Bombyx mori: one gene and its partner. The protein of the gene in region 1 interacts with the protein of each later gene in a biochemical or structural test. Links are inferred from orthologs where the notes say so. Each region holds a gene or a part of one and is shown on either strand. Other genes may lie near its edges.

Region 1 (8,175 bases):
AAATGGTAATATTTCAATTTCTATTGACTGCCTTTTGCTCACTTCCAAAGGATACTCTAATTTTTTTTTTCTACTTGATTCCTTTTTTTGTACATTATCTTCAATATCACTACCATTATCTTGTGTTTTGCTATCGGCTGGTGGTTTACTAGGACTATCATCAATAGTTATAGCAAACTCAGCTCCAACTTCAAATGCCCTCTTTCTTGCAGACTGAACAGGACTGTCTTGTATAGTTATCTCGACCATATCAGATGGAGTAGGCTCTGCATTATTTTGTTTCTCAATTTCCGAGGCATCATTCCCTATATCATTTTCAAATTGAGTCGGCTCTTCGGGTCTCAGGTACCACTGACGAGCAGGTCCAGGGCCTGGAGAAGCACCATCATCATCATCAAGTTCCACTGTTGTATTAGCTATTGGTATTTTTGGTGATATTTTTATTAATTTCTTCTTCATATTTGGGTTAGTTATATGTGGGGTGGCTAGTTTCATGGTATTCATTTTTTTAACAGTTATGGAAGCTGGTAACAATCCCTTTGGTTTCGCATTCTGTATCAAAATTGGATTCGGTACAAGATTTTTATTATACTGCTGTGGAACATTCCCTATTCTTGCATTATTCATGTTGACCAAATTGACTGGAATTCGGCACCCTGTCATCTTACTTTTTGGTGATTGTCTGATATACTGTCTAACAACTGGTCTTGGTGAAACTGAATTATTCTTCTGAATAGCACATCCATTATTCTTTAATTTCATTGAAACTGGATTAACATCTTTAGGGATTTTAGTAACTGTAATTGACCTACCCACTAACGACAGTGGGAGAGCACTATTAGACGGCTTTGCGGGTTTTATAGTTATTCCACAAAGATTATTTGGTATGTGAACCATGGCATTCGGTCGAGTTTTTGCCTGAAAGTTTATAACAATTAAACAACTTGTTTAGGTTTGGTGGTCTATCAAATATTATATGCAAAAGTGCGCTAAATTTAATTATATATTAAATTGGGTACATACTTTCTTTGGCGCTGGTTCAGTATCATCATCTGAAGAACCTAATTCTATCACATCTTCGCTTGCCATGTTGCATCAATGTTAATCGGGAATGTTAATATTTTTGTAATCGATTATAAACCTTGTAGGTTACAAACTTGGAATATTTTGCTTCATTACTCTAGCGAAATACGTTCATTTTTTCATAAAACAGGAAGGAAAGTTATATCAACAAATAAATAGGTGCATCAACGAAAGCCTACAATCGCGTAAAGTGTATAATCTATGATCGCGGCAAAGTGCGTAGGTACATAGATGGGCCCAATCGGAATCGATCTTTTGGAAAATCGATCTTTAATTTTAATCGCCTTACATCCACATCGGCTCACATTTTTATTACCTAAATGGGATTTAAAAAATGAGTAGTTTTAGATCTAAATTGACAAAACCATTGTAATTCTTGGGTTTTCCAGAGTCATACATGGAATTTATTACTGGTGGTAGGACCTCTTGTGAGCCCGCGCGGGTAGGTACCACCGCCCTGCCTATTTCTGCCGTGATGCAGTGATGCGTTTCGGTTTGAAGGGTGGGGCAGCCGTTGTAACTATACTTGAGACCTTAGAGCTTATATCTCAAGGTGGGTGGCGCATTTACATTGTGGATGTCTATGGGCTCCAGTAACCACTTAACACCAGGTGGGCTGTGAGCTCAACCACCCATCGAAGAAATAAAAATAAAACTACATTTACGACTATATATATATATATATATATATATATATATATATATATATTTAGTTAAATATTATTTAATAGTACACTAGTACACACATCGAGTGACTCGGGGTACCGTAGTCAGCGCCCCAACTACTGGGCTGAGAATTGTGAGTTCGGAATTCCATTTTGGAGAATCGTACGTGTACCTAAAATATTTTTTGTCTTTATTGGAACGAAGTTCCTTACGGCAGGCTTGGAGGGGATAGGGATATTGCTGCGCGACCGAACTGAAAAAAATGTGATAGTAAAACCGTAAGGAAAAATCCGTGGAAAAAAGTGCGTGGAATAAAACCGTTAAATGAGACGTGCGCAGGCGCGACAGTCGTATACACAAGCGAGTAGTGTATAATACCTTTCTCTTTCTCCCTCTTTCTTTTCGTTCTCTCATCCTTTCTCTCTCTATTTTGTAATTATTTCTATTTCTATGTAATTTTATGTTGTCAAACAAAACTAAAGAGACATATTTTGTTATTTTAATTGATAATTTTGATAATTTGAATTACGATTTTATTTTTATTTTACGTAATTTATTATTTCCTAAAATACTGAATTTCCTAAATACTTTCCTGTACTTAAATAAAAACTAATCAGCAAAATTTAAGAGAAAAATCAAGAAAACCAACATAAAAATGAGCACGATTTTTTTTTGCAAATTGTGTCGATTCTACGTTAGCCGAAGGAACTTCGTTCCTACCTGGTGTCCCACGACACCACTTTTTTTTTTCTTATTTTATGTTAAATGTATATACATTTATTTATTTGGAAAAAAGGAACAGTACAAAACACCCATAAAATACATTCAAAATAGATATACAAAAAGTAAACAAGTTTGCACTATTAACATTACAGGTAAGTAGAAAGTAAACAGAAAAATAACTTTAGGAAGACCTTAATAAATAAAAGTTTACAACAAGGTAACAAAATACAACAATTACAAAACTTTATACTAATTATTGCTACACGTCGGACATTACTAACCTTTCAAAAAATATTCCCAAATAGCATTATAAATGCAAACGTGTATATATTTAAATTTACGTAACTAAATCTCTATTTCCGATAGTAGAAGGTATCCTAGCTTGAGGGCAAATGACGTTTGTGATTTGTGTATAATTTTGATGAAATTTCGCAGAAAGTTAATAATATTTGGTGAAGTGGCAGACCGCGGTAAAATGCACTCGCTGTGAAACGGCGCGTCGCGTCGGCGCGAACGGAACTGAAGTGTTGTTTGTTGCGTTCGCTTCACCAAACATATAAGCATGCTCATGGGGCTCAATCTGGGAGACTTTGTAAACATCCTCTCTAGAGCAATGCTTCGCTGAATCTACCACCGGATCAAAATCACAACCCTCTGAGAAAATCCGTTGAGTAACTCAGTGGGCTCAAACTCTTTTTGCGCTCGCTGCATGACATAATACATGTGATCAGGGACGTCTTAAATTAGGCTGGGGCCCTTGGACACACAAGAATTTGAGGTCCTTTTGGAAAGTAAAAAAAGCGAATTATAATAACATTTTTTACTCAGTATGACCATTTATTATAGGTAATCAAATACGGTATGATATAATATGTCATTAATGATATTAGAATACTGCTGGTTTTTTGGTTACGATCACGATAACGGAAACCGAATAAATGTGTGAGAGAAATTGTCGGTCCTTAGGGGGCCCCTGAGAATGGGGTCCCTGGGAACGGGTCCCGTGTGCCCTTATGGTAAAGACGGTATTGCATGTGATGGTAATCTTTGAACAATGTCCTCTCAAGAAATTCGCGGTCAGTGTATCGCCCTCAAGATGTGCCGACAAAGGAGAGTCGTTAGCGGTGTTTGTTCAAACGGCTATGTTTAGTTGGTTGATGTACTGATAGTTTATATTTCGTTTCGTTTGTATTTCGCCGCACGCCCCCAGTAGTGATAGGCAGCTCGTTATCTAGGGATTCGCTGCCCTAATCACATCGTAATAATACTCATAGTAAATGACATGATCGAACAACACCCGGTATTTTTGCTATTTTAAATGAGACAGTGTATTTGCTGATTCATGATTTCGGATTGGTGATCTACAAATAAACTTAAAAAAACAAAATAGTTAATGGAGCGGAGAGTGATACAACCATAGAGTTAGTATACTTATTAACTCCATGGATACAACTGACACAAGTAACTTTTTTTCGGATAAGCTATTAATCTAGTTTTTTCTATGCTATAAAATATACTAGTACCTACTATTTTTTTACTGATCTGTGGATGTTTGTGCGTTCGTCCACAGATTAATAATGTGTGGGTCCGCCAGAGAATTGAACTAAATTGAACTAAAAATTGAAATAATTGAACGGTAGAAATTGTCAAGAAGAATGTGTTTGTTGAAGCTTGACTTATACCTAATTGGCTAAAACAAAAAGTCAAAGAGAAAGTATATTATTTAGCCAATCATAAGTCTAGGTTTGGCTCTTCATTTAACAAAATTTCACCGAACACTGATCTGTGATACAAAAACTCAAAAAAGTCAAGCTGTCAAAATAGATCTTGGAATTTAATAAATTATTAATCTATTTAATTGATTAGTTAGGAAAATGATTAAACTTTTTTCATTAAAACAACAGAAAAAAGATGAAGAGGGTTCTACCAGAGGAGGAGGATCACAAAAAAAAGCATCAGCAGCCCAATTACGAATTACAAAAGGTTCTAGGCGATATTTTCAGTGTTTACTAGATTTTTCATGTTTAATTAAGCATTACCAATGAATTTCCTGTATTTTATGGCAGAAATATATTGGCAACAAATAAGATTTCATTAAAATTAACTTGTTATTTTATAAGATTTTATAAGCTTCATTTCATGACCAATATTAATGTATCCACAGATTTGAATGAATTGAATCTACCGAAAACATGCAACACAGAATTCCCTGATCCGGATGACCTATTGAATTTTAAATTGATTATATGCCCAGATGAAGGATTTTATAGAGGAGGAAAATTTGTATTTAGCTTTAAGGTGAGCTTTTGTTCATTATTCATTAACATCATAATTAACCTTAAGATAACTTTCGATGTGTTCACCAGTAGATCACATTCATTATCTCAGAGCTTAATCACTTCATATGGCAATATTGTTGGGTACAGGAAAAAAATTACGAATGGTCTTTGTATGCAAAACTTGGAACTATAAGAACTGATTCAAAATCTGTATTTTTTACAAACTAAAATCATATGGCTTGGAATAGTTGGCTAGTTTTTGTAAAAAAACATCATTACATGATTGTATTTTAAAAATTTACTGGTCTGAATAAAAATTTAATCTGTTGATTCTGACTTGGTATTAGGTGGTCAAAGTTAGTGTACAACTGGGTAAGCCCTGTGATCATGTCTATATCTCTTCTATAATACTTTTACTATATTCTGGTTTTAAGCATTGAACATCTGATGCCGAAGTCCTCGTCGACATGATGGGTCTGTGTTGGATGGCTGGATGGCCTCACCGCTGTTGACTGGTCAGTAGGGATGCTTATAGTGGAGATCCCATCGGAACCTGCCTGTGTCTGTGATTACCATCCACAAATTTAACATTAGAGTGAAGCCTGATGGTCATACATGGGGTAGACTGCGATAGACTATGATTTTTTTTGTGGTTATTGATCTCTCTCTCTTTCTCTCTCTCTCACACACTCATGCACTAATGTTGGTACACCACATTCTACCTTGTTCCTATTAATATAGGTAGATGAGGTGTGAATCTTTAAGAGCATCTAAAAAAACAGAAAATTTTGAAGTAATACTGATGATCATCGCTGATGATGATAACTGCCACAGCTGTTTTTATTTTTATTTCATAGGATCATATGATTAACCAGTTGCGCATATTAAGTATTTAACTGAGCCCCACACCCTACAATGTGAACGTCACAAGTCATCATAGAAGTGTGCAGACAAAAGAGGACAAAGTTTCATTAATTGATAAAGTGTAGTAATAAAACATAATAACAATACAACATAACAAAAAAAATTAAAAGGTTTCACATGTTTGTACAATTCTTTTATGACATTGATCAGTCTATAGCAAAAACTTTCTCCTGTGTTATTTCGCCTATAACATCTTGAAGACAATAACACCCAGATCCTGAAAACCAAATATATTTTATCGACTCTAGGGGATAGTAGTCGCTAGCAACCTGACCAATGAGGCAGAACTTAGGTAATGATTCTTCAGTCAATTCATTTTTACTCAGAACAATTTATCAAAGGATGTTTTCAAATAATACTAACCAGCTGGAGCTCAGTAGCTAATACTTCTTTTACTATTGGTTAAATTAACTGTCCCTCAATTGAATATGTACGTTTATAGTAATAAATATTTAATATTATACAAAGTCCACAGTCTTTTTGCTGAGAAGCTGCTGAAAAAAAGCTTTGACTTTGAAGTTGGCTGAACTTCTTTGTTGTGTCTTGAAAAAATTGCAGACAAAATAATAAAAACATTTCGATTATTGAGTTCAGAAGCGAGATAGTTGGGGTCTTGATTGTAACTTTGCAATAACTCCTAATTTTGGATTTTTTTAACATCTTGTACTTGATCAAACTCAGTGATCGGTCCGTGCGGTTCTAAATAGGAGACAGTTTGAGTATAGTTATTAATACAATCTCAGACCACAGGCTATGATATAATAAACTAAAAACGGACCCCAGGCGAACCTTGAGGTTTGTCGAGGACTTCAAGGTGATCCCTCCCTCTATATTCTCCTTCTTTAAGCCTAATCTTTATAGATTACAAACTTATGTTATGTTACACATGGGTAGGTACCACTATCCTGTCCATTTATGCCGTGAAGCTGTCATGCGTTTCGGTTCGAAGGGTTGGACGACCGTGAGAGGAGAGTTAAGTCAGCGGCTCGTCTCAAGTGACTAGCAGCATTTACGCTATGTTATCTCCGATAAATATTACGTAGATAATACCATATCGGCCGTAAGCTGAAGTATTCTAGAAATGCTAAAACACTTTAGTAGATAGTAAGTAACTTGTATCTTTCTAACAAATATTTTTAACCAATTTTCAGGTAGGACCAAATTATCCTCACGAGCCGCCCAAAGTCAAATGTGAAACAGCAGTTTATCATCCTAACATAGACCTCGAAGGCAACGTGTGCCTGAATATACTCAGGGAAGATTGGAAACCTGTTCTCACAGTTAACTCCATAGTGTACGGTCTCCAGTATTTATTCTTGGTAAGCCCACTAAATTGATATAAAGACATAGCAATTAAGAACTTCTCATCAAACAGTTTTCTTTTTTTGGTTTTTCTTTTCCAGAAATTGACAAGTTTTGGTGTAATTATGATTATTTTCGTTTTTTTTTTTATTTCAACCTTTCAAATACTTCAATTTTCGTATTCACCGACAACTGTGAGTCTTTAAAGTATTTTTAATTATGTGTAGGACTCACGAAAACCAACGAAATAACTGCTGGTTATGGTTTGATGAAAAAGTTTATGTTTGAAGTAATATTAAATTTAGAAAAATGTATTAATCTCAAGAATGTTTCGGAATCTGAAGAAATTTACTGTACAAAATGCTCTTTTATCAAACTTAGGGCTGCCGATAAAAATCATAACTATAAAAATATTCGTATATTAGCAGTACTCGTAAAGATAAATATAATGAGATTAGATGGGAAAGTCGCTATTCGTCCGTCATCACACGTATTGCATTTTTATCTATTTTGGTGTACAATAACGCATACTCTCTCTTTCATTCACGGTATTGTATTTTATTTTTATCCAGTTTACGTGTACTTGTATAGTCTTGTATAATTGTATCCTATAACTCTCTGTGGAGAGAGTTCTTTGACGAATTGAGAAAATTTCATCATTTTCATTTTATCTTCGCACGAACTGTCAGCAAAGCTTATCTATACTCGCGCCACCCACCTCGAGATATACGTTCTAAGGTCTCAAGTAATAGTTCAACGGCTGCCCCACCCTTCAAACCGAAACGCATTACTGCTTCACGGCCGAAATAGGCAGGGCGGTGGTACCCACCCCCGCGCAGACTCACAAGAGGTCCTACCACCAGTAAAAAACATGTATTGGAATTGTTTTTTTTTTTTTTTAGGAACCAAACCCTGAAGATCCCCTCAACAAGGAAGCAGCTGACGAGCTCCAAAGCAACAGGCGACTTTTCGAACAACACGTTCAGAGAGCTATGCGAGGCGGCTACGTCGGCACATCTTATTTCGAACGATGCCTCAAATGAAAACCTGCACACGTGTAAAAAATGCTAACAACCATATAAATAATAATAAAATCTCATTTTAATGTTTTTCTATTGTTTCGTTTTTATTTATTTAATATTGTTTTTAAAAAAAGCCATCTCTAATGCCATGCCCAACAAGATATCTAAAGTACAAT
Region 2 (8,094 bases), on another chromosome or scaffold:
GTTTTACTATTCATACGCATTTTATAAATGTATTTTCACTACACCCTGTAGTTTATATTGGAGTTATATTTCACTAAGTGTAATTTTTTGATAAACACAACCATTTTCTTTATTAAGGTTTTCAAACTTTACTTTGAGAATATACAAACTTTTCAAGCTTTTTATTAAAGTTAATTTCCATGTGAATTTTATTCACAGACTCACCTTAGATTTTTTTTGAAAGTCACTTGATCCAAGAACTTTAAATTCTTTTTGTTTTTCAGCATAAATTTTTTCTTTTGGTTTTGGAGGTGTATTTGGTTTTGGTATTTCCGTTGGCAAATCATCATTAGTAGAAACGGGAAGGTCAGGTAAAATTTCAGTTTGTTTTTCTTCTTTCAAAGTAATGACATCAGACGATTTTTTTACTGAAAATGCTTTTCTACGTTCTTCAATTCTTTGCTTCAATTGTTCTAGGCGTTTTGCTTCTTGTTCTATTATATGTGTATCATCATTTGTGTCATTATATCTGGAATATAAACTTACCTAAATCTTGAAACCTTTATTATTATGTTCTAAATATAAAAAATATCAATTTGAATTGAATGTTAAGAGTGTGGGCTATTGTTGTAAGAACTGGCCTTCTAACTATATGTAACTATCATAGGTTTATTAAAAAGAATAGTTGTTGCCTAGGAACAAGTACTTAGTTGTGTACTCATGTAAAAAAAGGTCAGTTTAAACATCCGAAGTTTGTTTTATTATCAACCACAATTGTATCCTAAAATTTCGGAATCTAAATATATACGTGTACCTATCTGTTGGTATGTTAATAGTTAGTTTTCATTGCTAAATTTTTTAAATGATAATGATAACTTGGTTCAAACCTGTTAATAATAAATAAATCCATGGTGGCGATCTGAAATTAAAGACTAAAGCTACGCAACCTCAGAACAACTATGATGAGATCTCTTGTTACGGTTTATTGAGATATTCTTTCAAAAATTGGATAAGTAATTCATTAATTTAAAAATATAAGGGTTACACATGTAAAAACTTCATTGTTTTCAAAAATATAACCTCTTATAACCTCATAGAAGTACATAGTTCAGTTGATTTCATCTACTTAAGAGGCACAGGGAATATGGCCCATGTGTTCCTATGAAATGGAAAATAAATGAGATGAAGTGGGCAATCTAGGTACTCAGAATCAAAAGACTCATTTGAAAAATCTATTATATCAGGTGTAGTTTAGAACTCGCGTAGACTAAAGTATAAGATGCTCAGTGCATTCGTATTAAGCGATGCAACGGTATTTGAATGCCGGAGGCGGGTACCTTTTTTTCTAATGAAATAGGTACTTAACAAATGTTTCCGATTGATTTTCATGGTGAAGGAATAAAATCGTGTAATAAAAAAAAAAGGTGAGCTTGCAACTTGAGGCACGCGAAAAAAGTGTAACTTCTTTTGTCATGTGTAGTATTGTGGTTTTCTCCATTATTGAAAATCAAATCAAATTTCTCTTGTAATAGCGAATGCTGTGTATAAGATAAACGACCACTTCACCATTTATAGATATTTTAAATGATATATATAGAATTTTTTTTTTTTTAAATCCTTAATTATAAATATTATTTAATTATAATATTATATATAATATAATACATATATTAATTAAAAATAAGCAGGGTGGTGGTACCCACTCGTGCAGACTCACAAGACGTCCTACCACTAGTAGTTATGCAAATTATAATTTTACTGGTTTTATTGAAGTGAAACTACTATAAGTGCATTGAGAGTAAAATTTAACTCACGATAGATTCGTAACGACTAGAGAGAACAGATACAATTTAGGACCAGCGAGAGGGAGAAAATATACAGAGCGTCTCGCGAACCACACGACCTTGAAGAGAGCGAGAAAGCGAGCTAGATTGATTTTTTTATACACATTCTGTTTACGGGCGTTGGCCACTAGATTGCTTGTTATTAGTTTCTCATTGCTCCTGTAGATGGCAGTAACATATTATCTATCTTAAATTTTATTTTTAACTATGGATTAAAAAAATATATTTTTCTATATATAATTTAAAATATATATAAATGGAGAAGAGATCGTTTCTCTAATACATAGTATTCCCTATTGCAAGAAAAAATTGATTTAAGTTTGAAAAATGAAGAAAACCGTAATACTACACACTGCAAATTTAGTTACACTTCTTTCACGTGTCACGTGCCTCAAGTTGCACGCGCACCTTTTTTTTTGTAATTCACAACAAATGTAATAGGATAATTTTGTATAGTAAAAAAAAACTCATTCATCAATAATTGTATTTATAAAAATCCTAATTATATTATTTCCAATTAACAACAACTTACCTCTGCAATCTGCATATTTGAAGTTATAGTAATAAAAGCAGAAAATAATGATAAATTATTTTCATACTTGGCGCTCAATATACAGGGTATCTCAGAAAGAATTGATAATACTGAAACACCTCATAGTAGAGCTATTGGGGACACAAAATAAAAAATAAAAAATAAAATCTTAGGTAGCACCCAAATTAAAAATAAAATAAAAATACCAAATTTCATTATTAAAATTGAAGTTCAGATTAACTTTTATAAAAAATTACACTGGCTACTCATGCGATTTTCTACATATTCCTTAGTATAGTCCATATAAAATATTATAACACCAAAAAGCTTATGGATTTCATTTATTTGTAGCTGTTATATATTCCAGAAACGCACAGCAGTATGGAAAATATCAACTTTTTTTTAAAATACATAATTTGGGTACTACCTGAGTTTTTTTTATTTTTATTTTTTTTTGTGTCCTCAATGGCTCTACTATGAGGTGTTTCAGGATTATCCATTCTTTCTGGGACACCCTGTATATGAGTAAGACTCTGTAAGACGCCATAAGCCTTTTAATTTATAAAAAAAATAATTATGTTAGTAAAAAAGGTTTTTTTGTAACCGAATATTGTTAGTTTACTAATTTGCTGATTAAAAATTTACATTACCTACTCATAATATGGTTTTGAAAGAAACGACTGTTTAGACGATAAATTTGAAAAAAAAAACATGACTATTTTACGGCCCTGAACACAATGCTGTTGGCCTATAATGGTCTCGATGCCTTTGGCTTGTAATTATCTACAGTGAGTACTGTTCAATAGAGGTCTGTGTACCTAAAAATGCAAAATAAAAAATTGACAAAAAATCTATGGTCACTTAAATGAGGTTTTAGTTTTACCTAGTTTTTTGCAAATTTTTTCTCGTGTGAATTAATGTTGATTAAACTGTTTTCAACTAATTAGCTCTCGTTAGGTCTTAATATTTTAAAATTATTTTTGGAAGAGACACTGATAGGATTTGCACAATGGCTAATGTGTCTTACCATATAGCACATCTTCTTGAGAAGGTAAGCCGGTTAATTTGTTAACTAGTTCAATGTTTTCGTATCTAATAAGCTCGCATTTATTGAGGATTTTCTATTTATTTCGTAGATGACATCCAATGATAAAGACTTCAGGTTTATGGCTACTAATGATTTGATGACAGAGTTGCAAAAAGACAGTATCAAGCTCGACGATGATTCTGAAAGAAAAGTAGTAAAAATGCTTCTACGATTACTCGAAGACAAGAATGGTGAAGTTCAGAATTTAGCTGTGAAATGGTTCGTTTGATATTTCATAATTCCAAGCACAATAAATCTGAGTATCAATCCTGCATGTGATTCAATCCTGCATGTGATTTAACTCCCAATTTTTTAAGTTCTATTCAAACTACTTATGAAAAAGTATGGTAGAAGATAAAATTTCAATATTCGCTGTCGCAGATTTTTGTCATAGTTTTATGAAATTAGATAAGTTTCCTTTACAAAGTCAAGTCTAATAGTCTCAGTTGTTCTGTACTTTTATCAGTGTTAAATTTGTAAAATTACATAACTTTTTCTCAATTTAAACCAAATTCACTTAGGTATTTCAACTTTCTCATACTAAAAAAAATATATGTTAATCTTTTGCTCTATTGCTGCAAGAAAGAAGCACACACCAAAATATAGACTTTACTGATGATAATATTGTTAAAGTCATAATTTTATAATACTGTATACTGATATTAACAAACCAGTACCCTTGACAATAATTCACTTTCAGCCTCGGTCCTCTTGTAAACAAAGTAAAGGAGTATCAGGTGGAAGGTATAGTTGATACACTTTGTGCCAATATGCTTTCGGATACTGAGCAGCTAAGGGACATCAGCAGCATTGGATTAAAGACTGTAATTTCTGAACTCCCACTGGGTTCCAATACTCTTGCTGCTAATGTTTGTAAGAAAATAACTGGTAAATTGAGTAGTGCTATAGAAAAGGTACAGTATAGATGTTTAGATATTTCACTGGATTGTTCAATTTATTGCTCTCTTCAAAAAATAAACATGTCATTATTCTTCTTAATTTTTTCAGCAAGAAGATGTTTCAGTTCAACTTGAAGCACTTGATATTCTTGCTGATTTATTGAGCAGATTTGGTGGTTTATTGATATCATTTCATCCTATGCTGCTCAATTCACTGTTGCCGCAGCTTGCATCTCCCCGTCAGGTATACAAGTAGCAATGAAAACACCTGTGATCCAATTATATATTATTATGTATCCAAAGTTTGTAGGCTAACTTTTGGTTGTCCCGATATTTCAAAGTTAAAGGAGCCTACAGGAGCAGCTGTTGCTACCTTCATTGTCCCATTTGGACTCTTGATTATTATGTTTCTTGGTGGTTGGTCATACATTTCGGGAACACTTTATTGTTTACTATCAACATATAAAATAATAATGAAAATATGTAATGTAATAAATATTAAAATTAAATGTTCCATGCTGATATTAATTATATAATGCAATAGCAAGTTAAAATTTTATTTAATCAAATTATAAAGGTTTTTTGTCTTGTGAGCTGTGGTCAACTATTACCAAAAATGAAGAATTAAGGCAACCATAAATTTATTTGCAAAGAAAAGTAATTAACTATCTTAACTATCTTAACAGGTAATTTGTAGCTGTTATGGGTTAGGTGCTTTCACTATGTGTATTGTTAGCAGATATCTCAAATATACCAGTTTGAGCTGTGGGACAATTTAGGCACAGTATAAATTCAAACATTGAACTTATGTCTTTTAGTGGATGGCTGCATTCATATCCTAATATCTTTCAAACTCTGGTAATGACATAGAATTAGGTAGGTGGTGAGCTATCACCTAACGATATAGTCCATTACAAAAAAATTATGAAATATATATATATATAGCAAAGTATGAAGGTGTACGTTGATCCAAAATTTACGTAATATAATATTAAAAAATTCCAGGCTGTTCGCAAGCGCACCATAGTTGCGTTGTCACATTTGGTCATGTCTTGCAATGCTTCGCTTTATAACAAGTTAATAGACCATCTACTGGAGGGTCTGAGCTCTTCAACTTCATCAAGTGTCAGCCGAACACACATACAGTGCATTGCTTCTATATGGTATGTTGTGAGTTAATTGACATTTTTGTTCATTCATATTTTAATTTTGCAGCATGTGTAGGATCTAGGCAAGAAAAATTATATTAATTAGACTAAATTCTCTTGAAATTTGTTTATTTTAGTCGTCAAGCTGGACACCGATTTGGTGAACAATTGTGGCGTGTGGCACCATCAGTTTTGGAATATTCAAAAGATACAGATGAAGAATTACGGGAACATTGCTTGCAGGCTCTTGAAGCATTTGTCCTCAAGTGTCCTAAAGAAGTCCAACCACATATACCTACGGTAAATAGACATAATTGGATTTTTTTATTTTCATTGCCTATATAGATGAACAAGCTCAGGGGTCAACCTTGTGTTGTCAGTTATTGGAGCTCATTTACATCATGTACATGTACATTCATACAAGAATGAAGCTTTGAGACAAGAGGTTTAAGTCTTAATTGCATGGGATAATAGTTGTCCCAGCCTTCGAATCATAATGTATTATTCTTTCGTTACTGTAACAAATTTAGAAAAACCTTTGAAAACCTTTAAAATTTTTACGTTGTTGTAGGTTTTTTTCTCAATGCGCCTCTGTTAGTGTAGGTTGATGGTTAATAATGCAAAATTGTTGTTGTAATTTAATTCTATCTATTCAAAGTAGTTCTAGATGCATGTTAGATAAAAGCAAAGCATACAAAGATAAAGAAAAAACTTCAAGATCTAAACTGATAACTATTTTGTTTAAGATAATTGATCTATGCCTGAAGATGATAACATATGATCCAAATTACAACTATGAGGATGAAGAGGGAGTGTGTGATGATGACGAAGAAATGGAAGATGACACATACTCACCTGATGCGGATCCTGAATCTGACTCAGAAGAGTATTCGGATGATGATGACATGTCCTGGAAAGTATGTAATAGAAATAATGCAATTATAACTACTTTATTTTAACAGTGTATACTAATGTGTCCATCATGATGAGGGACGTTTCAAAATTAAAAGTGGGCCTAGCATGTCACAATTCATAGAACAATATGAGAAACAGATGCTTTTTGCAAATATACAAAATGTCCGAAGGTCTGAGGATAAGGGATTCTCCAGCGGCGACTATTCAAATTTTCACAACAGAATAGCATACAATCAAATAATAAAAAAAATATCCGATTTATTGTATTCATCATCTGGTTTATTAGTTTAATTTAGTTTTTTTTTATTTTGGCCTTGTCATGACTATCTTATTTGAGGCGTATATATAAATAGTAACTTCGACATTTGCTTACTATTTTTGATATTGTTTCAAGTGATTGAACCTCATATTATGAGTGTGAGTGGTGTTTTCTTCCTTTTTCGCGAGTTGCAAAAATTTTTTTAATTTTTTTTTATTGCCTAGATTTGTGGACAAGCTCACAGCCCACCTGGTGTTAAGTGGTTACTGGAACCCATAGACATCTACAACGTAAATGCGCCACATACGATGAGATATAAATTCTAAGGTCTCAGTATAGTTACAACGGCTGCCCCACCCTTCAAACCGAAACGCATTACTGCTTCACGGCAGAAATAGGCGGGGCGGTGGTACCTACCCGTGCGAACTCACAAGAGGTCCTACTACCAGTAATAACGCAAATTATAATTTTGCGGGTTTGATTTTTATTACACGATGTTATTCCTTCACCGTGGAAGTCAATCGTGAACAATTGTTAAGTACGTATTTCATTAGAAAAATTGGTACCCGCCTGCGGGATTCGAACACCGGTGCATCGCTATATACGAATGCACCGGACGTCTTATCCTTTAGGCCACGACGACTTATATATGTAATTAAAACTTCATTAACGGTTTAATATCACTTTTCTTATTATCATTATAAAATTTCCGTCGTTTCGAATACCTTACAGTTTTTGTGGCTACAGACGAGATTAAATAGTAAAAATAGTTTTAATCATTAGTTTAGGAGTAAAAGTTGAGGATTTTGTTCTTTTTGTTTATGATAACTTAATGACATATAGTACTTTCAACAAATGGGTGTACGTGACTGGCATTAATTGTTTCATGCATGATAAGAAATAAAAATTAAGATTTATCTTTTCAGGTGAGACGTGCTGCAGCTAAATGTCTTGAATCTGTGATAGCTACGCGTCACGAGCTCTTAGCCGAGATGTACCATACAGTTTCGCCAGCTTTGATTGCTAGATTTAAAGGTAAATATACTATCTAATAACATCTTTTACCTATAGAGTTACCTATGGACTGATAAAAAATGAGATCAAAGTCGTCATCTAATGGATAATATGTGCGGGGTACTCGTATCGAGCGATGCAACCATGCCGGCATTTAAATCTCGCTGAGATTTACCAATTATCTTAATAAAATACGTATTTGATTTATGTTTACAAATGACTACATTTTTACTGGTGGTAGGACCTCTTGTGAGTCCGCGCGGGTAGGTACCACCATCCTGCCTATTTCTGCCATGAAGCAGTAATGCGTTACGGTTTGAAGGGTGGGGCTTGAGACCTTAGAACTTAAATCTCAAAGTGGGTGGCGCATTTACGTTGTAGATGTCTATGAGCTCCAGTAACCACTTAAGACCAGGT

The links.
Region 2: the proteins of ubiquitin-conjugating enzyme E2M (region 1) and cullin-associated NEDD8-dissociated protein 1 form a complex in vitro, tested with the Homo sapiens proteins (2 studies listed by BioGRID). The link is inferred for Bombyx mori from reciprocal best matches to the Homo sapiens genes UBE2M and CAND1.

The regions. Positions count from the first base shown.
Region 1 is NC_085121.1:6,068,012-6,076,186, reverse strand, and holds the start of ubiquitin-conjugating enzyme E2M, read left to right. Parts: upstream 1-4,055; 5' UTR 4,056-4,346; coding exon 4,347-4,455; intron 4,456-4,636; coding exon 4,637-4,770; intron 4,771-6,826; coding exon 6,827-6,994; intron 6,995-7,879; coding exon 7,880-8,020; 3' UTR 8,021-8,175. Other genes in the region: uncharacterized protein LOC101745482, read right to left, coding at 1-918, 1,024-1,089.
Region 2 is NC_085111.1:7,839,810-7,847,903, forward strand, and holds the start of cullin-associated NEDD8-dissociated protein 1, read left to right. Parts: upstream 1-3,135; 5' UTR 3,136-3,364; coding exon 3,365-3,406; intron 3,407-3,491; coding exon 3,492-3,661; intron 3,662-4,142; coding exon 4,143-4,356; intron 4,357-4,450; coding exon 4,451-4,585; intron 4,586-5,346; coding exon 5,347-5,504; intron 5,505-5,626; coding exon 5,627-5,789; intron 5,790-6,235; coding exon 6,236-6,406; intron 6,407-7,589; coding exon 7,590-7,698; intron 7,699-8,094. Other genes in the region: probable ATP-dependent RNA helicase Dbp73D, read right to left, coding at 205-508, 867-889. UniProt on the Homo sapiens protein: Key assembly factor of SCF (SKP1-CUL1-F-box protein) E3 ubiquitin ligase complexes that promotes the exchange of the substrate-recognition F-box subunit in SCF complexes, thereby playing a key role in the cellular repertoire of SCF complexes.